Diceros bicornis minor: one gene and its partners. Each later gene encodes a partner of the first gene's protein in a complex. Links are inferred from orthologs where the notes say so. Each region holds a gene or a part of one and is shown in the gene's direction. Other genes may lie near its edges.

What was found. The genes of interacting proteins can lie anywhere in the genome.
Region 2: the proteins of AURKA (region 1) and TACC3 are in contact, whole or in part, in a crystal structure (PDB 5ODT), measured with the Homo sapiens proteins. The link is inferred for Diceros bicornis minor from reciprocal best matches to the Homo sapiens genes AURKA and TACC3. Residues at the interface, in NP_001310232.1 of Homo sapiens: Leu130, Phe133, Glu134, Ile135, Gly136, Arg137, Tyr148, Leu149, Ala150, Arg151, Ile158, Val163, Arg205, Tyr207; in NP_001428248.1 of Homo sapiens: Glu523, Ser524, Phe525, Arg526, Pro528, Val531, Leu532, Gly533.
Region 3: the proteins of AURKA (region 1) and TPX2 are in contact, whole or in part, in a crystal structure (PDB 3HA6), measured with the Homo sapiens proteins. The link is inferred for Diceros bicornis minor from reciprocal best matches to the Homo sapiens genes AURKA and TPX2. Residues at the interface, in NP_001310232.1 of Homo sapiens: Lys125, Arg126, Gln127, Trp128, Asp132, Glu152, Gln154, Ser155, Phe157, Leu159, Lys166, Glu170, Gly173, Glu175, Leu178, Arg179, Val182, Glu183, Ile184, Ser186, His187, Leu188, Arg189, Tyr197, Gly198, Tyr199, His201, Val206, Tyr246, Ser249; in NP_036244.2 of Homo sapiens: Gln3, Lys5, Ser6, Ser7, Tyr8, Ser9, Tyr10, Asp11, Ala12, Pro13, Ser14, Asp15, Phe16, Ile17, Phe19, Ser20, Ile31, Asp32, Trp34, Phe35, Glu36, Lys38, Ala39.

Annotation. Positions count from the first base shown.
Region 1 is NC_080758.1:6,939,435-6,947,422, forward strand, and holds the start of AURKA (aurora kinase A), read left to right. Parts: upstream 1-4,979; 5' UTR 4,980-5,062; intron 5,063-7,988. Other genes in the region: CSTF1 (cleavage stimulation factor subunit 1), read right to left, coding at 1-128, 294-571, 1,988-2,156. UniProt on the Homo sapiens protein: Mitotic serine/threonine kinase that contributes to the regulation of cell cycle progression.
Region 2 is NC_080747.1:1,102,156-1,109,770, forward strand, and holds the start of TACC3 (transforming acidic coiled-coil-containing protein 3), read left to right. Parts: upstream 1-4,610; 5' UTR 4,611-4,712; intron 4,713-5,547; 5' UTR 5,548-5,548; coding exon 5,549-5,710; intron 5,711-5,867; coding exon 5,868-6,010; intron 6,011-7,475; coding exon 7,476-7,615. Other genes in the region: TMEM129 (E3 ubiquitin-protein ligase TM129), read right to left, coding at 324-798, 2,584-3,298. UniProt on the Homo sapiens protein: Plays a role in the microtubule-dependent coupling of the nucleus and the centrosome. Involved in the processes that regulate centrosome-mediated interkinetic nuclear migration (INM) of neural progenitors.
Region 3 is NC_080758.1:27,754,859-27,762,504, reverse strand, and holds the start of TPX2 (targeting protein for Xklp2), read left to right. Parts: upstream 1-4,641; 5' UTR 4,642-4,720; intron 4,721-5,088; exon of another isoform or gene 5,089-5,291; intron 5,292-7,156; 5' UTR 7,157-7,273; intron 7,274-7,646. UniProt on the Homo sapiens protein: Spindle assembly factor required for normal assembly of mitotic spindles. Required for normal assembly of microtubules during apoptosis. Required for chromatin and/or kinetochore dependent microtubule nucleation.

The DNA of each region.
Region 1 (7,988 bases):
GAACCAGAGGCAAGGATCTGTTCTGTTGGGTGGAAAGCGAGACACGTGACTTCATCCACATGGTCATAAAGAGTTCGAATCACTGGGTGGTTTTCCATATTCTGTTGTGCAGTCTCATTCATCATGACCTAGGCCAACAAGAAAAGAAGAGATGCTCAAAGTGCAAAATCTGTTTGACTCAAAGCACACAACCTACAACCATGCTAAGTTAAAGCCGGTTTCAACTATTCTCTCATTCTTCTAAGAATGAACAACCAAAGGCAAACAGGAAGTATGTAACTGGGATTTTTTACCTCTATTGGCATGGCACTTTTGGCCAACATTCTTTCTGTGTCAAGTATCTTTATGGAAGCATCAGCAGATCCAGTAGCTATTAACTGTCCATCTCTGCTATAGGTAGCCACCCGGCATGGTCCTTTATGGGATGTGACATAACATGTCTCGTACTCTGAAGCCTCTGGGGACATAGTCTGGACATCTGCATCAAATTCCAGGTCAATTCCTGTGCCAGGGGCAACTGTATCTGAACGACCAATTGCATACTGAACTGCAGTATCATCATTTTCCATTCCTGAAAGGAAGAAAAATGAAGGGCATAAAAAACGCTATTTTAAAAGGCCAAGACAAAGTTCTGGATCCACACTGGGCAAGATGTTTGCCAATGTGAACTTACTATTTCTTGGAGCTGCAGGACACTTAATATTGTAAACAATTATGTGTAACGACCTGGGCGCATGCACAGTGACACACACTGTAAGGCAATATGGGTTGTGGAAGGTTAGGCTCCAATAGGTCAAGTCATCTCCCCTGATTTTTGCCTCCAAAACTTTCTACTTTAACCACAACTACAGAAACTCAAAAAAAAAAGCAGTTCTGTAGTTAAATTGTCCATTTTTTCCCATTCTGGATTTTAATATTTTTACTGCTGAGACCTGTGAGTAGCAGCTCTGAAGCTCATTAAGTCAGATATAGTGTCAGCATTAACACCAGTGAAATGTATTTGAAAGAATGTTATCTAAATAAACTCAAGTTTACCAAGAATATGCACTTTAAATTTAAAAATAACTTCATATATAAACAATGTTTATTAGTATAACAAAAATTAAAAATAGAGAAGAAAAAATTAAAATGTCCTCATTCTATATCACCCAGAGATTATTACTGTTAACATGGCGGTATGAATTCTTCTAGACTTTTCTCCATGCATACAGTTGTTTCACTTAACAGAAATAGAAAAATAGAATTACACTACATAACATGTTGTGACTTACTTTTTCACTTAATCATACACAATAAACATCTGGCCAGCATAATAAATGTTCATCTACATCATGTTGTTGGATCTAATTTTATGGATATAAGAACATTCATAACTAATTCCCCATTGTTAGGCATTTCAGTTATATTCATTTTATATCCTCAGGACAAATTCTCACAACTAGCATTGCCAAGTCAAAGGGTATAAACATCTTCGGTACTTTTATACTTTACTGAGTGCTTTCTGTGACCCAGGTAAGCACCAGGATATACTTCTGAACAAGACAAGGTCCTGATCTTTATTGAGCCTGCAGTCTTTTTTTGGGGAGGTGTGGACTGTGTGGAAAACAACCCAAAACAATAAAGAAAATTTCAGACACTGATTCTGTTATGAAGAAAATGGGATTATTGTCTTAGAGTAACTGGAGAGTTATGTGGAAGATAGTCGGGTTATTTTAGAAGTGAAGAGGACTCTGAGATGACATTTGAGCTGAAACTTGAAGAAAGTCAATACAATGACAGAATGCTTCAGATAATTCGTATAAAGATCCTGAGGCTAGAACCAGCTCGAAATCTTTATAATCTGTACTTTGCTTACTCCTTCAATATCTAGCACTGTACTTGATACATACTAAAGGCTAAAACTAAAGAAATAATTTCGAAAAATTCTGACGTGTGAAAACATCTGAAACCTTGTCATGGGGTCAAGGAATTTGCATTCACAAGCTACCTAGTTTGATGAGATGCAGGAGCTGCTCTGAGGGCGCACAGACAGACTGAGGCTTGATTTCATTGATGAGGCCATTGGCAATGCTGATGTAGCCGTCATAGAGCAGCTGGCTAATGATCAGCTTGTAGAGCTGCTGGCGGTCCTTCAAGCCCACTTTGGTTCTGTACATCTTGAGGAACAGGAAGACAATTTGCCTGCCAGCTGCAAGAAGAGAAAACAGGTGGCCGGTGAAGGGCAGAGGCACTAGCAAACCACAGAAGCAACACAGGAATCTGGTCCCACTTGTAGGCTTAAATCCCAGCTCTACCAGCTGCAACATCTTTGGTCAGTGACTTCGTTTCTCTAAGATCAAGTTCCTCATCTGTTAAATAAGTTAGTGAAGGTTAAACAAGACGCTGCATTGAGCATAGTGGCAGAAAGAAATTATTCAAATCATGTTTGCTGATATTTACAGCAGAATGTCTCTTCATCAACTTTTCTTCTATGCCGAACTACTCACTTGCAATTTTTATTCTTTATTGCTATCCGAGAATCTTCCATTTCTTCTGTTAATAAAACAGTGACTGGTGTTTGCAATAGGTAAGACAGCTGCTATTGTCGATGTCTGGACAGTATTGTTTACACCAGCTGAGCTCTATGTTTACTAATACCAGTTATGTTCATTCTTAAAACATGTTTTAAAGTAACCGAGCTTCACATGAGCACAAAACAGCTATTATGCTATGAAAACAATGAAGCTGAATGCTTTCAAAGATTCAAAAGTGAACTGTTTAATAAAATACTGGCAAGTAGGATATGGCCAAGATAGCTTTAAAAAATGGAAAAAAATGCAAAAATCTGAAGGATTGTGCTCTTAGATCGATTTACAAGTGTCTAAGTTCTCCCTCAGTCTTAGAAAGTGAAACAGAAAACTGTAGATGATGGTTTCTGGTTTATGCCAAAAAAAAACAAAACAAAACTGCAATTGGTGGACATGGATAGAAAATCTGATTATCAAAAATTAATGTCTTTATGTATGTGTACATACGGACAGATCAGAAGACTGCAGGAGCCTAGGGACAGCAATAAAGAATAAAAGTTGTGGCAGAGAAGAAAACTGAAAGGCAGAGTACAGGAGAGAGATGAATATGAGAAAGAAGAGGAGGGAGTGAACACCAACATCAGTACCTCCTGGTACTGCTGTACTTTACAGGGGCGATTCTGAAAGCGGGGGAGGTGAGGGTGTTAGAGGAAAGGGGTGGGGAACCACGTTTTCTAAGTACACAACTCCCTCTGGAGAATTACTGAGGCTGCTGATCCTAAGAACAGCTAACATTCACTGAGCGTTTATCATGTTTTATCTCACCTAACCGGCAACACCATCTTATAAAGGAGGTCCTGTAATCTTGTTAACAGATGAGGAGGGGAAATAACTTGCCCATGGTCTCACAACTAGCGCCTGGAGGAACCAGGACTAGAACACAGGAGGTTTGACTCTAAAGACTGTCTCGTTCCTAACCACTACCTGCAGTGCTCCTCAAAAACTTAAAACTAGCTAAAATTTATTAGACATTCCGTACAGTATATAACATATACCGTGTAAGCAGCTAATATGCATTACCTCATTCAATCCTCATCTAATCCTATTTTAGAGACAGACAACCTGAGGTCCAGAGAGGTTAACTCAACTCAGGATGAAACAGCTTATAAACGGCAGAGCCTGAATCCTAATCCAGGCTACTTGACCCCAGAGCCGCCCTTCTTACCGGGCTGTACTGGTGGGTGTTAATAATAGCTAACATTTATTAAGCAGTTGCCAGACACCGTGCAAAGCACTTTATAAGCATTAGCTCACCGAATGAAATCATTAAATGTATTTAAGTACATGTAAAAGCAAACGTATATAAATCTATGCTTGCGTAGACAATACGAGGACACAATGGAGATTATGAAACCGGCTCAAAGGGGTTAGGAATCCCAGTGAAAAGTAAAATGTGGCTAAGTCGCCAAAGGTTCAAGTGGCCGCCAGGACTGCCCACACCAGAGCCCAGAGCTTAACCACTATTCCAGCCTGTCTCTTCATTCACGCCAGGAGCATCACGGGGGTATACAAAGAGATGAAGAAAAGAGAGGACACGCCCCGCTTCTCAACTCCCCTAGAACGTTCGCTCGCTGGGCTGGTTAGAGCCTAGTTACCAGCGCCAACTTGCAGGTGAGACCTCTGAGGCCCGGGGACAGGAAGAGCCCGACCCAGGACTGTTAGAGGAGTTGGAAGGGGGACCAGGGCGAGAGCGCAGGCGCCCCCTCACCGCCCGCTCCGCTACCATCCCGGCGCAGGGGCGAACTAAGGAGGGAGGGAGGGAAGGGACCAGGCCTTTGAGGAAAACGAGGCGGGTGCAAGCCCAGCCCGGCGACTCGGCACACGCCGCCCCGCTCGCTATCGACCTTTCCCGCCTCGCCCCTAGCCTTCCTGAAAGCCCAGCCCACCGCACCAGCCGCACCAGCCACCCCCGCCACGTATCCCGGGCCCCCTGTACCCGCTAATCCAGCTCTCCTGGTCTCTCGCTCTCTCCAGAAAAATGGATGCGCGACTCCTGCCCGATCGATCACTCCGAGCGCACGTTCACTGCGCACGCGCGCAGGAAGACGCGCCGAACGCTGCGCTATCGATCGGCACCACTCTCCCCTGCTCTTCTCGCCATCTTACCTACTAGCGCGTTCGAGAGGTTTGTTCACCTCCTCTGAATTTATCTTCTACGCGACAACCTTGACGCCAAGGGGCTGCTGTCGCACAGACAAATGTCGGATTCCGGAGAGCACCAAGGGCGGTAGCACGGCCAGGGGTCTGGCGGGCCGTTGGCTCCACCACTTCCGGGGCCTTACGGGGCAAGTGCGCCTGCGCGCCGTCTCTGCCCTGGACGTGACTCAAGCGTCGAGTTGGCTCTGAACCAATCAAAAGGCAGCGCCTCTCTAGCCCAGGCCAATCAGCTTTCGGATTAGAGGGTTTAACTCCTGTTTAAAATGAAGACTTTGAATTCTAACGGCTGAGTTCTCGGGAGGACTCGGCGGCCTTAGGTCGGAGGCAGGAGCTGACGGGTGGGTAGACCCTGGGGCAGCTCTGCAAGGCGGGCGGGCCCGGGAGGGTCCGGGTGGCCGGCCTGGGTGGGAGGGATGCAGCCAGTGGGTCCGCGGGGTCCGCGAGGGAATGGTCGGGGCGAGAAGCGCCCCCCCCCCGTCGCCCTCCGTCCCCAGGGTCCCTGTGCCCCCATCCTCCCCCATCCCCCTCATCCTCCCCCATCCCCCTCATCCTCCCCGTCCCCTACCTGTGCTTTCCCAGCGCCCTCGCATCTGCTTCTGGGTACTGAGGCGCCCTGAAGATGCTGCTTGATGTGTTCTGGAGTGGTTGGGGTGGTTGGGGGGTGGGGGGAGGGTGTGCTTTCAGATGGGGTTCTTGTATTCAGTGAGCATCGGGTAAGAAGAAACACAGGTTTTTGCTGTCTTGCAGTTGAGTGGGGGTGGGGAGACAGACTGCGAACTAGCAAGATAACATCCGAGAGTGGTGAGCCTTACGAAAGAAAACAGTCGTGTGGTTTACCGGGGGCTACTTGGGACAGAACAGCTAGGAAGGTCCCCTTTTCCTGGCTGGCTGGATGAGTGGGTGAATGAATAACCTGGAAGAGGCCTCCTGGGCCAGCGCTTCTCAAACCGTAGACCTTGGACCACCTATACGTCGGCATGGCCTGGGAGTCCTTGTCAAAAATATAGACCCACCTAATGAATCGGAAGCGCTCGGGCATAGGACTCAGGTGTCTGTCTTTTTATCAAGCTCTCAGGTGGTTCTGATGTGTCATTGAGAACTAGAGACCCAGACCAGCACATACTAGTCAACTGGATGTTAGAATGCAGGGTCTGAGTTGTTAGGTCTGGGGGTGGGCCTGAGAGTCTCCATTTCTAACAAACGCCCCCCTGTTGTAGGTGTAGCTACTGCCCTTGACTTTTAATGTCCCCTCCTCAACCTTCCTTGTTCTTTGAATTAAACACTTTTCAGCAACATACTTATTTCCTGTCCACTGTCCTTCATATACGCAGACATTAGTAGGTTTGACAAGGAAGGAAAAGTCTAACCCCACGGTGCTATTAAATCTAACAATTTTCCTGTTTAGAATAGTAGGATCTCTGGCTTGAGCGGTAGGGATCTTGTGAAGGTCGTCTGGCCATGTGGCTCCTGAACCTGGCTGTAGGCCAGAATCATCTGAGAAGCAGTCTCCCTGGGGCTCTCGCCAGAATTTCTGGGTCAGAATCTTATTCCCTTCTGCTTATCATCATTCATCTCCCTGAGAAGGAAACATATTAAATTGGAGCAAATTATCTGTAGCTTCTGTCAAAGACTGTTGAATAAATGTCCTTAGGGCTATGTGACTTCAGTAGAGCTGCTTGTAATTGTTAGGGAAAGTGAAGAAAGCATTAGAGTGTATGTGAAATGAACATTTTCATAACACAAGCATATGTTTCCTTTTTTCCTTTTTGTCTATTTCTACTAACCCACTGCTTAAAGTAAGGACTCCCAGCTCTTTAGCTGTGGTCCCATCTTCAAGGTGGAGTTATTTGCTTATTTATAAAATGAATGTGAAAGTGTAGGGGTGGGGAGCACTTTCTGATTGGATTCTAGAATTCGGAGAGCACTTGGGTAAGAAAAATACAGAAGTTTCTGCTTTCTTGGAGTTTATGTTCTACTTACTTGATAGGTGGTTGTACCTGAATCACCGTATGGGCTTACTAAGTGTTATAAACTATTTTTATTATTGATTTGCTTTGTTAATGGATTAATTCATTCTCAGAACATTGGTGTACATACTACGTGCCAGGCATGTTCTGGGGAGGCAGCAGTGAACAAAATGGGACTAAGCCCTTGTGCTCGTGGAGCTTGCTTGCTTTGGAGATACTGAGCAGGTAGCTGGATGTCTGAGTCTGGGGAGAGAGACAGTAAACAAGTGCAAGTGATGTTATGTAAGATATTAAGGAGTATGATGAAAAATAAAGGAGAGATGGTCTGAAAGGGGATGTCTGAGCAGAGACATGAATGAAATGAAGGAGTAAGCCACACTTCTATTAGGGGAAGAGCCTAATAGCGGGAACAGGAAGTGCAAAGGCCCTGTGGCAGGGACTTCTTTGAGGAAAGAAAGGAGCCCTGTATGGCTGGTATGCAACAGATAAGAGGAGATGAGGTCAGAAAGGTGGTCACGTTCCACATTCTTTGAGACTTTGTAGGCCTGTCTGTGCAAGTAGGATTTTGAATTTGGATTGGGGAACTATGAGGACCAACATATCTGACCTGTTAATGGGATCACTGGGCACACTGTTGCGAATGGTCCATAATGGGGCAACAGTGGAAGCAGAGTGACCATTGGGAGCCTGTTGCAAATAATTGAGGGGAGAGAATTGTGGTGTGAGCAGGTGGTAGCAGTAAAGGTCATGAGTAGTGATTTTTGAAGGTAGAGCATACAAGATATGCTGATAGATTACATATGGGGTTTGAGGGGGAACCGTGTAAAACATTATATCAAGACTTGACCTGAGCAGCTGGCAAGACGGATTTGCCATCAGCTGAGGTGGGGACTTCTGTGAGAACAGGTTTGGGGAGGTGGGTGGGAGGGAGCAGGACTTCAGGTTGGGACAGGTTAAAGTTGAGACGCCTCTCAGAGTACCAGGTGGAGATGTTGTGTAGGTGGTAGGAGTTAAGGGTGAGGTGTGAGCTGGAGATGGAAATTTGGAGGTCCTCAGCCTGTGGATGGTATTGAAAACCAGGAGACTGGATGAGCTCACCTAGGGAGTGAGTGTAGCTGGAAAAGAAGAGTGCTTTGGCCCTGAGCTCAGGGTGCTCCTGTGAGCAGAGGGGAAATGAAGTGTGGAGAGAAGAGGTTCCCTTTCAATGTGTTAGGATTGAGATGTCTGGTGGACCTTTCCGGGGGACCCTGAGCAGGTAATTAGATAACGGAGTCTAGCAGTCAGAGGAGAGGTTAGG
Region 2 (7,615 bases), on another chromosome or scaffold:
AGACCTCAGAGCTGAGGCAGCCACCAAGCGTCTATCCTGTACAGCCACCAAGTGTCCCCAACATGCTCCCCAAAGAAGCTGAAAAGGCAGATTCAGAGAAGAGCTTGGAGAAAGAGAGAGGAAAGGGTACTTGTGGGGCGCAAGGGGGGCAAGGGATGAGGGGGCCAGGGAGGGGCCTGGGGGGTGCAGTGGGGGCTCTGAGGGGGAGGCACTGGAGGGATGGCTGCAGGGGCTGCTCCACACATCATCGCCTCCCGGGGGGCACAAAGACTGGAACCTGGGCACTGGCTGGCTCACCCCCACCTGACCTCGGGCATGCCTACCGGATGTCGAAGGCCCGCACGGCAGGGCTGGCGCTGGCCACGTGGATGGTGAGGAGCTGCACCGGCAAGTTGGAGTCCGGCGAGAGCTCGTGCTGCTGCGACTGCGTCACTGTCAGATGCACGTCCTGCTGCTGGGCCACATACACGCAGTACGTGGTCACCTTCATCACCCACGTGTCCGTCACGATCACACGGGCTCCCGGTGCCCCCGTGGCAAACTTGTCGATCCGCCGGAACTCGGTGTTGACAGAGGAAGCAACGGCCCGCCAGTCCGACTGCGGAAGGGCGTAGAGGGCCAGGGTACGGGCCAGTGGGTGGCGGGCCCACCGGTCCCGGGACCAGTAATAGATCAGGGAGCAGGTGACAGTCAGCAGGGTGACCACCAGCAGGAGGAAGAGCTGCCAGGCCTCTGGGGCCCGGCTCGGGGAGTAGAGCTGCTTTTCTGAGGCTGCGAAGCACATGCCTACGTAGTAGCCTGCAAGCAACAGAGTGAGTCTCAGCAAAGGTCGGGACTGCCAGGCCACTGTCCTCCCCCAGTGAGGGCCACAGTGCTGTCCCTGTACCTCCTAGGGAAGTTCCTCTCGTCCCCAACCCTGGGCCTGGCCCTCTGCCCTGGTCAGCTCCCAGGGCGAGACCAGGGTACCCAGAGCAGGTGGACCTCACCTGCCTCCACACTGGCCCAAATCAGCCTTGACCCGGACAGTGACCCCATAAAAAAGGGAAAAACGTTTTTAATTTGCTACTTTAATTTTACACAACATAAGAATACTGAAAAAAACTAGAAAAACAACAAATGCAATGATCTGGTGTCACCAGATGCACAGCTGCCCTCCACAGAGTGGGATCTTGGCCTCTTGACCCCACCCCTCTGAGTGTGACCCATCCCAGGGCTGGGACATCGTGTGCCAAACGATGGGGGCTGTCAGCAAGAACACAGGAGCCAGCTCCGGGCCCCTGCTGGCCAGATTGAGGCCACTTTGCACTCAAAATGAATAACGCAGATAGTGATGGGGTGCAGTGGCAGCTATGAAATCACAAAAATAATGACATAAGTTTGCTATTGCCGAAATCACTACATTTTAAGATAATTTATCATGTAGCGACAAATATGATTCAAAGTTTCCCAAAAAAGGCATTTCAAAAGAAGTTGGAAAACAAAACAAGACCCTGTGTCCAGCCACAAGGCCAGGCTCCACCTCCTCCTCTGGGTGTGGCCTCCTGGAGTCACTCTGCTCCCTAAGTCCTGATGTCCCTGCCCGTCCTCGGATGGTGGCCCAGCCCCCCACGGGCTCCAGGAAGCTGGAGGGCTCCTGAGCTTCCAGGGCAGAAGCCAACCCGCCACCCTCAGGGGAGCCCAGGCCCCAGGCCGCATGCTCCTCACCTGGGCACGGGGCTAATGGGCTGCCCTGCTCACAGGGAGCTGGGTGCTCTGTGGAGGCGGCCAGGCAGTTACCGCAACACCACGCAGAGCAACCACCCGGCCCATAAGACATGGGCCACCAGCTCACCACGCCAGCTCCCTCCCCATCCCGGCGTGGGCTCCACTCGGCGCGCCGTCCACGCAGGCAGGCAGCCCCCATGCACCGGCCGGCCTCAGCCCAGGCCCCTCCTGCCGCTCCCCATACTGGCCAGGCTGCTGCGCGCCTGCCAGGTGGACACTCCTCCGTGTCCACAGAGCTGCAGGCAGGGCCACCGCCCCTGCCCTCCCAGACCTGCTTCCGCCTGCGTGTTCTCCGGACCCCCGCCTGCTCCCCCACTCTCCAGCCAGTCCCCCGTCCACCCAGCTGACACTCCGACCCCCAGAGCCCAGCTAGGCCCCAAGTCACTGCCCAGCACGACCCCTGGGCAACTTCGGAGCGGGCCGGCCACACACATGCCTTCCCCGGCCTCCGCACCTGTAACAACCCCGCCTGGCGTCGCTACCTCTGCCTGCCCTTCCCACGCCCACCGTCCAAGGCCTGGGGCAGGGCCACCTTGTCCCCCAGACCCCCGCCCTCAGACCCTTCTCCGGGGCACTGCCCCCCACCCCATGTGACCGCTCGCGCCTGCCCCAGCGGGCGAGCATCCCCCCGGGGTCCGAGCCTGCTCTTCTGCTCCCTGCGAGCGGCCGGGCGGGCGGACGCAGCCTCGCTCTCGGGGCTGGCCGCTTCTCCCCGAGCGCCCTCCCCGACTCTCCGAGACAGGTGACCCTGCGGCCCGGCAGCCTCTGGAGCCCGCAGCGCGGCCGCCTCCGCCCCCCGAGCGGGCCCCGCCGGCGCACCGAGCGGCAGCAGCGAGTGGCACAGCAGCGTGGCAGCCGTGCGGCGCAGGTGGTAGGGCACGAAGGCGGCGTCCTCGCTGCCCAGCCAGCCCGACAGCAGGTTCTGCACCGTGAGCCCGGCCGAGTGGAACTCGGTGGGCGTGAACACGAAGCACACGGCGAAGACCAGGTAGGCCAGCGTGAACGTGACCTCCGGGCTGTCCATCGCGCCGCCGCCGGGAACCGTCGGCGAGACCCGCCGCCCCCGGCGCGGGGAACAGGCCCGAGCTTCCCGGTCCGGTGGGCGCGGGGCACCCTGGGAGAGGGGGCCCACGGAGCCGTTTGGTAGATAGAGTCCTCGCCTGCGGGGCACTCTGGAAAATCGGAGTTCCCGTGGAGCACTCTGGGAAACGACGTCTTCGCCCGCGGGGCACTCTGGGAAATGGGATTTCCCGTGGAGCACGCTGGGAGACGAGGTCTTCGCCCGCGGGGCACTCTGGGAATGGGAGTTCCCCCGCCCGCGGAGCACTCTGGGAGATGGAGTCCCACCGTCAAGCCGGCGCAGTACGCTGTGAGAGATCGAGCCCCGTGGGGCACTACGGAACATGGAGTTCCCGCTTCCCGCACATGACCCGAAGTCGTGAGCTGCCGCGACAATCCTCGCGAAGGTTCGGCTCCTCCTCACGACCCGGCCTGGGGGCGGCGCTACACCTGGTCCTATTTTACAGCTGGGCATACTGAAGCCCGGGCGAGCGGCTCTCAGGCTCCGGCCTTTCCGCCCAGTCTACCGTCCGTAGCAGAGCACGAGATCCCCAAGCGACAGCAGGCCCCGCAGTCATCGTCTGCCTGCGAGCACCCCTGACCCTCCACTCGTCGGCAACGCGCGGCTCCCGAGGACTTCCGGCGCGCACTGCGCCCAGCGTGCTCCCCGCCCCGGAAGCGGTACCGCCGGCGCGCGGGGGCGTGGCCTTAGGCGCGGCCTCCCATTGGCCGGCGGCGTCCCGTGCGTCGCGCCCCAGCCGCGCGTTGATTGGCCGCGCGCGCCAACCGTCGGGATTTGAATCGGCGGCGGGCGGGCGGGCTCCTGGACTCGGCGCCTCTCGCTCTCTCGGCTCCGCACCGCGGCCGGCAGGTAAGGCGGCGGCGGCGGCGGCGGCGGCGGCGGCGGGCGGGTCCCGGCCCGGGGCTCCATCCCAGCCTCCTCCGCACCCTCCGGCCCGGCCCCGGCCTCTGTCCGCCGCGGAGCTGCCGACACCCGCCCTCCCGGCGGCGGGTCCACCCTCGGCGTGTCCCCGCGGCGCCCCTGCCCTCCCGCCGCCTCTTCAAGGACGCTTTCTCGCCGGTCCCTCTCAGCGGGCCCATCCCGCCGGCCCGCCGTAGCCCGGAGCGGAGCCGGGTGACCTCTGCCCCGCCGTCCGAGACGCCCGGCGGGCTCCTGCCTTCTTGGCTCTTCCGCCTCCCCTCTGTCGCCCTCCGCGAGGGTCATCCTCCAGGAGGTCCGTGTGTCGGGGTCCCTCAGGGCCTGGCCCGCGGCCACCCCTCACCTCGGTGACCCTGTCCAGCCTCACATACCACCCGTAGCTGTGGTTTGCAAATGCACGTCTCCAGCACCGAACGCGCGCCCGGCTCGCTGCCCGCCCCCCTGCCCGGGTGTCGGAGACGGGACTCCGGACCCCTAGCCCTTCCGGCTCTGCGCGGCCACGCCCCCCTCCAACGGGGCAGCTTCTGCTGCTTCCTCCAGCCCCAGCTGTGAGCCGTCACCCACTGCCGCGCCCCTGCGCCGCAGACCTGGGCGCGAGCCCTCCCCGCCCGCTGCTGCCCTACCGCAGTCCGCGCACGCAGGGCGGCCTCTGCTCCGGAGCCCCCGCCCGTGGTCCCGTGGTCAGTAGAAGCCAAACCGACTGAGACCGCCATCACTGTTTTCCCACCTTCCCCAGGCCAGGGACGGCCAGAAAGCTGTCCTCGAGGCCCCCTTCCGTGTTTCACCCAGTTGTTCAGGCGGAAGACCTAGCTGTCACCTTGGACTCCTGAGTCTTTCCCGCTTCCACACACCGAAGGGGGGCCCGCTGGCCAAGCCAGGGCTGACCCAGCCCAGGCCTGCTGCAGGAGCCTCTGACGCCACTTCCCGGCCTCCTCTCACACCCTCCAAGGTGCCGACCTCACACCCCTCCAGGCCCCCTTTGCACCTTTCTGCCTCAGACACCTCAGCCTTGTTCGAGCTGCAGCCCCCAGGGCCCCCACCACCAGCAGGTACCCATGGTGCGGCCTTGCGCAGGTCCATACCCAGTTCTCTGATGACTCTTAGATTGGGAATGTCATGTTGGCGACCATGATGAGAACTGTAGGAAGGAATGGGGCTGTTCCAGAACCTTCTGGGCCTGACTGGAGGCTCCTGGTGTATTTCCAGACTCCAGGCCCCGATGTAGAAGCTCCCCACTTAGTTCTGCACCTCACTGCGTATTTCCTTTGCCAGCTCCTCCTCTGGGCCTTGGCGGTCCTGCTGCCCTCACCTTGTCTCTATTTCCCAGCCACGTGGGGAAGAGTGAGCCACCGCACCTTTCCGCTTTTCTTTTCTTTGCCAGCGTGGCCACCTGCTCCAGCTCTGACACAGCCTTGGCGCCTCGAGTGGAGGCCTGTGGGAGACCTAGGCTTCCTCTGCCTCTTCTGGTGTTCTCCAAGGCCACCTTTTACTTGTCTCTTGACTTTTACCCATGAAGTTCGAGTTGTTGGGAGCACCTGGGTTTTCCTCTTTGCCCCAAAGGCTGAAGGCCCTTCTAGCCCTTAGGCCTGGGAGGTGGTGGCTCCCCTGCAGCAGGACAGGGAGCACCTGGCAGAGGACACACTGCCTGAGGTGTGACCAGCTGCGCAGGAAGGGGCCATCCTCCCGGCCGAGCTGCAGAGTCAGCTCCATCTTTTTCACGTTGGTGCATCCAGGCGCCGCAGTGTCGCTGCCTTCATGCTGACACACGCTGTTTGCTTTTTCAGAATGAGTCTGCAGATCTTCAATGACGAAAATGTCACTGGTGACAAAAGTACAGAGAACTGCAACTTCCTGTTTTCACCACCAGAACTTACCGGAAGATCATCTGTTCTTCGTCTGTCACAGAAGGAAAATGTGCCACCCAAAAGCATAGCCAAAGCCGTGAAGGTGAGCGCGTTGTGCCTATGTGAGATCACCGTGTGTCATGTTAGGTCACCTTGGAACCTGCTTTCCTGGTGACTTAAATGAGCTGCCAGGGCAGGGTGCTCCTCGCATAGTGGTTGAAGACGAACTTGGTGAACAGGTGCTGTCTCCCTCCCAACAGGTGACTTTTCAGACACCTCTGCGGGATCCACAGACGCACAGAGTTCTAAGTCCTGTTGTGAGCAGCAAACCGGAGGCTTGCTTTGCTCTGGGTGACGCCGGAGGGTTAAGAAACCTTCCTCAAGTCTGGACGCAGAAAGAGAAGTAAGTGTGGGTGCTGCTTGTGTACTGCAGTTTGTAGCATCTCTCGTAGACTCGGCAGGAAAATTCTGCTCATCTGGTTGAGTTTCTCTTGGTCTCGCTCTGAGCTTGTGTGGTGCATGGTCCAGAGTATTTGGCATCGGAAGTCGTTACTGGAAAAGTGGATAATGGAACACTTATAATAAGTTTAAATTTCATATTCCATTCCTTCGTTGTACCCTTGCCAACAAGTTGGCCTCATTTTTTGTTTCTCTAGCTTCACGAAATGTCCTGCTCACATCTCTAAGGAAGGGCACTTTGTGGTTTTATGTCTCTTTTTGTGTTCCACTGGGGTCTCTCTTCTGCTTGCAAGTTGAGCTGTGTTCTTTTAAAGGCAGAGGAGATGTCTGTTGTGTAATCTGGTCAGAGTGCGAGTGGCCTCAGGGACCAGGTTTTAAACACCTGGCTTTAACTGGGAGAAGCTTCTTTGCAGCCTCACCTGGAGTTAGGTGTTTGGCTTGGTCTACTAAGTGAGTGCCACGGCCTTTCCTGCCTCTGTCTGGAAAGGAGAACCCTAGTGGCAGCTCTTCACCCCCAGATTAGGCTGAACTAACCCAACTGAGGCCCCCAGGGACCCTCTGCATCCAGAGTGGGAAGGGTCCTCACTGGCACATTTTCATTTTGACTTTTGCTGACTTAAGCTGTTTAAAACTTGCATTTTCTTCTAAACAGGTTTCAGATGTACAGAGCAAGGTATAAAAGCAAAGTATCGCTAACATATCCTTCACCTAACTTAAGTAAAATGTTCTTGGGGCCACGGTTCTGTTTCCTCGTGGAAGCTCCTCGAGCCTGAATCTGTTCCCCTCCCCAGGTGTCCTTGCTACTTGTCAGCTTCAGTTTTATACTTTTTGAAATTCAGCTGAGTGAGATTAGAGGGACTTAAATACTGTTCCTTTATAACAGCCTCAGGAAGGGAGGGAAACCCGGCCTCTTGGCCGCAGGATCTGACCTGCTTCGAGGGCCAGGGTGGTTCCTGCCTCTGCCCTGTTTCTGCAGAGCCACAGAGCAGAAGTCAGGGAGCAGGCCAGGAGGACCCAGGGAGGGTGGCCCTAGGAGCTGGGACCCTGCTTTCTGAAGGCAGTGTTCTCGACCTGCCTTTCTCTCTTCAGTGAAGGGCTTGACCCTCGTGTGCCTGACTGTCCCTGACTATGTAGCTGGTGGTCCCCAACCAAAAGGGGAAAGTAGGGTAGCACAGAAAACCTTAACTTTGGTCATGTATCTGTCAGGTTTCTGCTCACTCTCAGAAACCCGTGTGTCCCTAGGTTGCTCACCAGCATTGATTTATGGGACTATACTTGTGACAGTTAATCCTGAGGAGATGGTTGACTAAACATTCTTTTTTTCTGTTTTTAGCTAATGTTTTCATGTGGGCTAAAATGTAAAAAACAAAATGGGTTGCTTAGTATTAACTAAGTCTGTTTCTAAAAAGCCAACAGTTCACCAAGGAAGTGGACACCAAAACGACCGATGGAATTCTCCAGAAACCAGCAGTGCTGGATGCCAACCCCCCTCCAGGGGACGTGAGACCAGCCTCTGAAGACAGGAGTTCCAGCGGGCCCACCTCAGCTC
Region 3 (7,646 bases), about 21 Mb from region 1:
TGTCTGTCCACAAGTCCAGTGTAGCTCCTCCCCTCTGAAGCTCCCACACTTGTCAGTTGGTTGTGAATTCTCCTATACCTTTCTCTCTATATATACATCCATGTCTAGGTCAGGCAGCATAGGGCAATGGTTAAGGGTCTGGAATCTGGAGCTGACATTCCTGAGTTCACATCTTGCCTCTGTCACATACAAACTGTGAAAGTGGAAAAGTTGTCTAACCTCTTTGAGCCTCAAGTTCCTCAATCTATAAAATGGAAATGATAACATTTCCTACCTCATAGGGTAATTATTAGGAAGAAATGAGTTAATACATGTAAAGTACTTCAAACAGTGCCTGGCATATGCTAAGTGTCAGAGAAGTGCTAGCTGTTATTACTTGTACACACCCATGGCTCAAATGGAGCATCGTTTCGCATATTTTTAAAAAACAATGGTCTCATAGTGAATTTATATCAATTAGTAATTTGTTTTTTAACTCAAAAATGTGTCTCAAAGACACCCCGCTGTCAGTCCAGATCTATCGAACTCTTTTTGAACTGATGCTTAGTATTCCATTCTAAGGCAGTTTATTGAAATAGTCCCCTACTTATGGACATTTAGGTGGTTTCCAATTTCTCACAACCACAATGGGACAGGCTACTAATTGATTTCCCTATTTCCACTCTCGTTCCCTTCCTTCTGTTTTCAGCACAGCAGCCAAAATTATCCCATTAAAATCAGAGAGTAAATCAATGCTCAAAACCCTCCCAGGACTCCCACTTAATTCAGAGTCAAGGTCGAAGTCTTTACAATGGCCCAGTTGGTCTGCCTCCTGCCCCAGAATATCTCTGGGCTCATCTCCTGATAACTCTCTTCCTTGTCCATTTGATCCAGCCACCCTGACTTCCTAGCTATTTCTAAAACATGTCTGCTATGCTCCTACCTTTGCACTTGCTGTTCCCTCTGCCTGCGACACTCTTCCTTCAGATATCTGCATGGCTCACTCCTTCACCTTCTTCAGGTCTTTGCCCAAATGTCCCTGAACTACCGTAATGAAAATTTCGAATTCCTTTCACATAGTTAAGGCCCGAACGGTGATAGCTGCAATTGTGGGAAGAGTGGACCGGGTGTGGCTGTGCTTCCTTCCAGCTCTGAAATTCCGCTTTAGTGATTTCAGACCTCACGTCTCCCATTCATGAAGAATGGGAACTTGAGACTCTGCCTAGAATGTAATAGAGCCAGAAGGAATGACATGAGAGGAATCCCTTGGACCAGGCTTACCTCTTGTTAGTTTGGAAGGACTTGAGAAGTCCTTGCGCACAGTCCTGGCCTCCTGGCACTGCCTCACTCACTCACTGAGCACCTTCTGCCTAGTAGGTCCCGGACACAGCCTGGCTCCGATGCCCCTTCCCTCCTAATATAAATGGAGCTACCCCCACCCCACCCGGGCCTAGCTACTCCACGGCCCTGCACGTGCCTGGTGGTCTCCAGTCATGTCTCTGCTGAAAGTGGGCCCTCCCTTTGTCTCTGTCCAGCTCCAGCCTTCCTCCTCTTATTTCCATCCACACTTCAGGGGCTGGAGAGCAAATGGCTTTGCATTTATCACCTCCTAATACACTACATCATTTATTTATTTACCTTGTTTAGTGTCTGTCTTCTCCACTAGAATGTCAGCTCCCTGAGAACCGAGATTTTGTATGTCTTACCACTGCTGTATCTCCACACTTAGCACAGTGACTAACACACAATAGGCGGTCAGTAAGCGCTGCAGTGACTGTGACTCAGTGCCTCTGCATGAAAATGGATGACTATGTCTCTTGGAGCTAAACCTAGAAACAGAAGTCCTAGGTCGCAGGGCACACATGTTTGACATTTTAATACATGTTGCCAACTTGCCCTCTAAAGTGGTCAAATTCATCCATCCTCCTACCTGTTGAGTTACCTTGTGAATCCTTGATACCATCAAACTTTTTTTTTTTTATAATTTTATTTATTTATTATTCCCCCAAAGCCCCAGTAGCTAGTTGTATGTCATAGCTGCACATCCTTCTAGTTGCTGTATGTGGGACGCGGCCTCAGCATGGCCAGAGAAGCGGTGCGTCGGTGCGCACCTGGGATCCAAACCCAGGCCGCCAGCAGCGGAGCGCGCACACTTAACCGCTAAGCCATGGGGCCGGCCCTCCGTCAAACTTTTAATTTTGGTCAATCTGATGGGTGAAAAATGGTACCTCCTTGTTTAAATTTCCCTTATTAGTAGTGAGACCAAACATTTTTTCATGTGTTTGACGGCCAGTTTTCTTTCTAAGAATTGCTTATTTTTCCCATTTTTTTCTATTGAATTTTTATCCTTTTCTCCCTGATTCATAGGAGATTTTTGTTTGTTAAAATTCTGGGTTCTAATCCTTTGTTATATGTGTTAGAAATAGTTCGGCCCTCAGGCTTGTTTTTCTTTTGTCAAACAGAATATTAAAATTTTGGCTTGATCAGTCTTTTCCTTTATGTCTTAGCCTTCTCCTTATGTCTTACTTAAAAATTTCCTACCCCAGCATCATATACATACTCTTTTAAAATTAAAAAATTTTTAATTTTAAAAAATATCTTTATGGTTTTTATCCAAAATTTGTTTTTGTAAATGGTGTGGGATAAAAATCTAACATAATATTTTCCCCAAATGAAAAGCAAATGTCCCAACTCCATTATCTGTTTGTCTCCATCTGATTTGAAATTCTACTCAGCATTTACTAAACTCTGATATACATGGGTCGGTTTCTGCACTCTTAAACTCTTCTACTGATTTTCTTGTTGTTTTAAAAAAATTTCTATGGCAATACCCTACTTAAGAAAAAAAACTTTGTGGAAAATTTCAAGTGCATGTAAGAAGTGCATATATGTATGTGTATATGTATCATGACTCTGTCACTCAGCTTCAACAATTATCAATTTGTGGCTACTCTTGTTTCATCTATATTCCCACCTACTTCCCTCCCCTGCATACTCCTGATTATTTTGAAGCAAATTCTAGAGTCATTTCATCCCTACCATTTCTATATGTATCTCTAAAACATAAATAGTTTTAAACAAACAAAAAAACCCTTGCAGTTTATATTTTGAAGAAACTAGATCTTTTGTCCTGTAGAGTCTTCCTGTCTGGATTTTGCTGATTGTATCCCCATGGAGTCAATTAACCATACTTTAAAAATTACTATAATTTCATAATGTTAATGTTTATGAGATCTGGTATGGAAATTACCCCCTATTATTTTTCAAAATTCAGACGCCACTTCTTGTGTTTTTCCTCTTCCAAATGAATTTTATAATCAACTTGGTAAGTTCCATGACAAAACCTATTGAGGTTTTCATTGGAATTGCCTTGAACTTTTAATATAGAGAATTAACATCTTTACAACATTGGTTGTCCCCATCCATTAACAGCCAGCCCTGGTGGTCTAGTGGTTAAGATTCAGTGCTCTCACCACAGCAGCTAGGGTTTGTTTCCCTGTCAGGAAACCACATGCCCATCTGTCAGTTGTCATACTGTGTTGGTTACGTGTTGCTGTGATGCTGAAAGCTATGACACTGGTATTTCAAACGCCAGCAGGGTCACCCATAGGTGGACCGGTTTCAGCAGAGCTTCCAGACTATGAAGAAGGACCTGGCCACCCACTTATAAATTGGCCAGGAAAACCCCATGAATAGCAGCAGAGCATTGTCTGATACAGCACCAGAAGGTGAGAGGATGGCGCAAAAAGACGGGCAGGGTCCCACTCTGCTGTATACAAGGTCATTAGGGAGTCGGAGGGGACTCAACGGCGCTAACAACAATTCATTAATGAGGTTTATAACCTCATTCAATTATTTTTATAGTTATTCAATGAAGTTTTACAGTTTTTAATTTTCCCATAAAGGTCTTAGGCTTATTTTGTTTTTTAACTTTGTAGTTTTTGTTGTTACTATGAACCACAATCTTTTTGTTCTCATTGCCGCTGTTATTTTGTAATTGATTATGATCATGTATAGGACCAGACATTCTTAATTCAAACCACATCTCCTCTACTTACTACGTGATTTTAGACAAGCTTACTCAACTTCTCCGAGGCTTTGTCTTCTCTTATGAGGATGGTAAACCCAGGGAGGAAGTACCCAGCAAACCGCGTTTTTAAGCCAGTAACATCAGGGCGTGGACGGGATAAAGGTTTGACAGACTCCTTCACGTTTGGTAGAGAAGCTGGGGGCGAATCTATGTTGCACACAGGGGACTCCATGTTAAAGCGAAGTGAGTTCCTATGCACATTTAAGGCACGATGCACAACTACATAGAGAATAATAAAAAACAAAATAAATGATTTTCTTCCAGGAAAGTCTTAGGGAGGCCCAGGATGCACGCCGTTCTGTTATCTAAAGCGATTCCCCATCTCTTCAGTTAGTACCATCTTTCCCAATTAGTGTGGAGCCGAGCATTCTGGGCTTTGTAGTAATTTCTTTACTAGAATTGTTCCAATGGGCTCACGCAATGCATGAGACTACATTTCCCAGGAGCCTCCCTGGCCGGTTGTTTGCTTGTACCTCACACTGACTTCCGGCGTCGGTGCGCTCTCTAGGGCCAATCGGGAGGCTGGGATTGCCCATTTCCGGCACCCTGATTGGTGCATTCGACTAGAGCGCCTGGTTTCAAATTTTCAACGGTACTGAATGAATCCCGCGGCGGGTCTTGCGGGCGTTCAGTTGTCAGAGCTGAGGTGAGGTGAGCCGTGGGGAGAAACTGGGAGCAGCTGGGGCGCGGGCTGTCTGTCTCTAATTTTTGAACGGCTAGAGGTCGCCTCCAAGCCCCTAGCGCGGTTCGCGCCTCTAGGCCTGGGCTTCTCTGGAGGTTGGGACGCCGTCCTGGCGGGGCGGAGGGGGAGCCGGGCTTTGGGCCACTGTTCTCTCCGTGACAGGATTTTCCCCTGAATTCTTTCGGGAACGGGTCTAGCGGGCTGCGTCTGGAGGTAGAGGCAGAGGCCGGCCGTGGGAAATAGGGGGAAGAAGGAGTTGCGGGAGGCTGTAGGCTGATAACAACCGTGACGACAGTTATTACCACGCACGCGTGAACTGAGCACTCTGCGTGCGTTTTCTCATTTAATTTTCGCACCAAGCCAATGAAGGAGGTGCTATTCCTAGGCCTCTTTATGGAAGAGGAAACCGAAGCCCGCAGTCCGGATACATTGCGAGAAATGGGTGAAACGGTAGCCCCGCCCTCAAGAAGTGCGGCGTTTGTGGGGGGAAAACAGATGCAGTCACAAACAACTACATTTTAGAACTACTGTGTAAGAGAGGTAAATGAGGTGGAGTGAGAACGTAATTGAGGGAGAGTAGTTCCGCTTGGAGTTGTCTTTCTATTTGGGGTTTTAAATTCATTCTGTTTTATCCGTGTCTACTCAGCCGTTCCCTTTTGTATGGAATCACTAGGTATTATTGCCTAATTTCCTATCCTAGAACATTTATAGATTGGAGGGGAAGGAAAAGTGTAAATCAGGTTATAATATTGTAGGATTGTTTTACTCCCCCTATTTTCCTGATATACGTTTTTTTTTCCTTCCGTGCAGTTTTCTAGTACAGTAAGTTAAGTACCAAGGACTTCCCCCAGATTAGTCCTGCTCAGGACAAGACAGCATCTGAGTGTTCTACTGATTTTCTTTAAGATCATCGCTTGGTGTACTTCCAGGTTCAGCCTTGTCTTGACATCTTGGTTTTTCTTCGAATTTGTCTCATCTGATGTCAAAAATCGAACTGTTTGCTGCTATAATAAAGATATTCTTGTGTTGTAGCCTCAGTGGATCACACCCCTTGTTAAGCCACCCCTAAATCGAACTTGAGTGCCCTTGGTTGCTTTGGAGGAGTACTGTTGGGTGTGTCAGTTCAGTATGGTCACTCTTGGGATCAAAATTATCGTGGCCCCCGGCTTACTTTGCTAATTAATTGACCTTTGAGGGTGTAGTGTGAGCTGAGATTGGTGTTAGATACTGTGGGTATACAGGTGTATGATGTACTCAAGGGTTTTCTGGTATGCTTGAGGACAAAAGACTGATTGAAATCGACAAGTGACAATCAGAACAAGACATGACAGCATCTGAGTGCTCTACTGTTTTGTAAGTGCCCTGGCAGTTCAGAGGTGAGGGAGATCAATGAGGCTTAAAATGGGCAAGGGTGGCTTTGTGAAGCAGGTGGGACACATATTGGCTCTTGATAAGCAGAGTTTGGTGAGAAAGGGACTAGAACAGTCCTGGTGCACAGAAATCACCCACTAAATATCTGTTGAATTGGATAGGCGGGAGGCATTATCTAAATTGACTATGAAATTGCAGGTATGGAAAACGATTTCTTCAACTAGATTGGTAAATTTGTTTAAACTTTAAAATTATTTAAATAAAATAGGGTTGTTTTGGCCAGGCTTATACTTAAGTCTGTGTATTCCAACTTTAATAAAGTTTATTTACCCTACAGTTGCAATTAAGCTTCTCCAGGAGACAGGATTATGTGGGAAGGTCCTTCATTTCTTGTTTGGGTACCAGGAGAGGTTCAGAGTTCTTCTATATCCCCTATATATTTTTTTCTTCAGCATTTCCTGGGTCTCTTTTTTTCACTTTGTGAAAAAAGTATAGATAACTGGAAGGGGTTCTGTTTTTGTTTGTTTGCATAGAGAAACTTGATTAAGGGGATTAAGATTAGTGAGGAAGCTATAAAATTGTATGTGGGAGCTTACTTCAGAAATTTTTTTTTAATGCAATTTCTACTTTTTTAAATTAAAAAAAGATAGTAAAAGTTTTTTTCATATTTTAAGTGTGCCTACTATTTGTCCTGATGTTTGAATAGGATAGAAGTGCACACTACCACCGTTGGTGTCAGTCTTTCTAAATTTGCAGGTTTTGAAAAGGTTACTTTAAAGTGGAATTATGTAATATCAAAGACACCAGGAGACAGCAAATGTACACTAAGAACATTTTTACACTGATGAAACAACAATCTGTTAAGAAGTTTGGCATTTAGGGGGAGCCACACTATTTAGACCTTAGCTCTCAGAAGCATTCTTTGGTTTTGAGGGTGGGTATCCTTGGTCTTCTCTAGCCCCTTCCTGTTCTCTGTTAACCTTTTTAATTACAGAGAACTTGAACCTGTTTCATCACCTTTCTGCTTCTTCCAGTTTCTTGATAAGAAGCACTCACTAGACTTCAAGATTTCAGAAGAGCGGTGACAGAGTATATTGTAACTTTGAGTCAAGCCTGTAGTGAGGTGGACTGGCAGACCGATTAAACTAGAGGTAAGGCTGTGTCCACAGTAAATTACATTAAAAAGGAATAAGGAAACATTAATATTAATCTATCAGCTTCAAAAGTGTTTAAATAACTTTAACATCTTTATAAAGTAACACATATTTTTGGAAGAAATTTATTTAATATGGAAAAGCAAAAAAATAGTATTACCCACTATCCCACCTCTCAGACAAACTATGGGTAATATTCTGATAGATTTCTTTCCAATTTTTTTCTGTGCCTGTATTTATTTTAAAAATCATACACTAAAAACCTTTTTTTTCATTTAATAGATTATGAACATTTTTTTCATGTCATTAAAATTTTCTACAACATAATTTTATGGTCTTAAGGTATTCTATTATATGGTTCTACCATAGT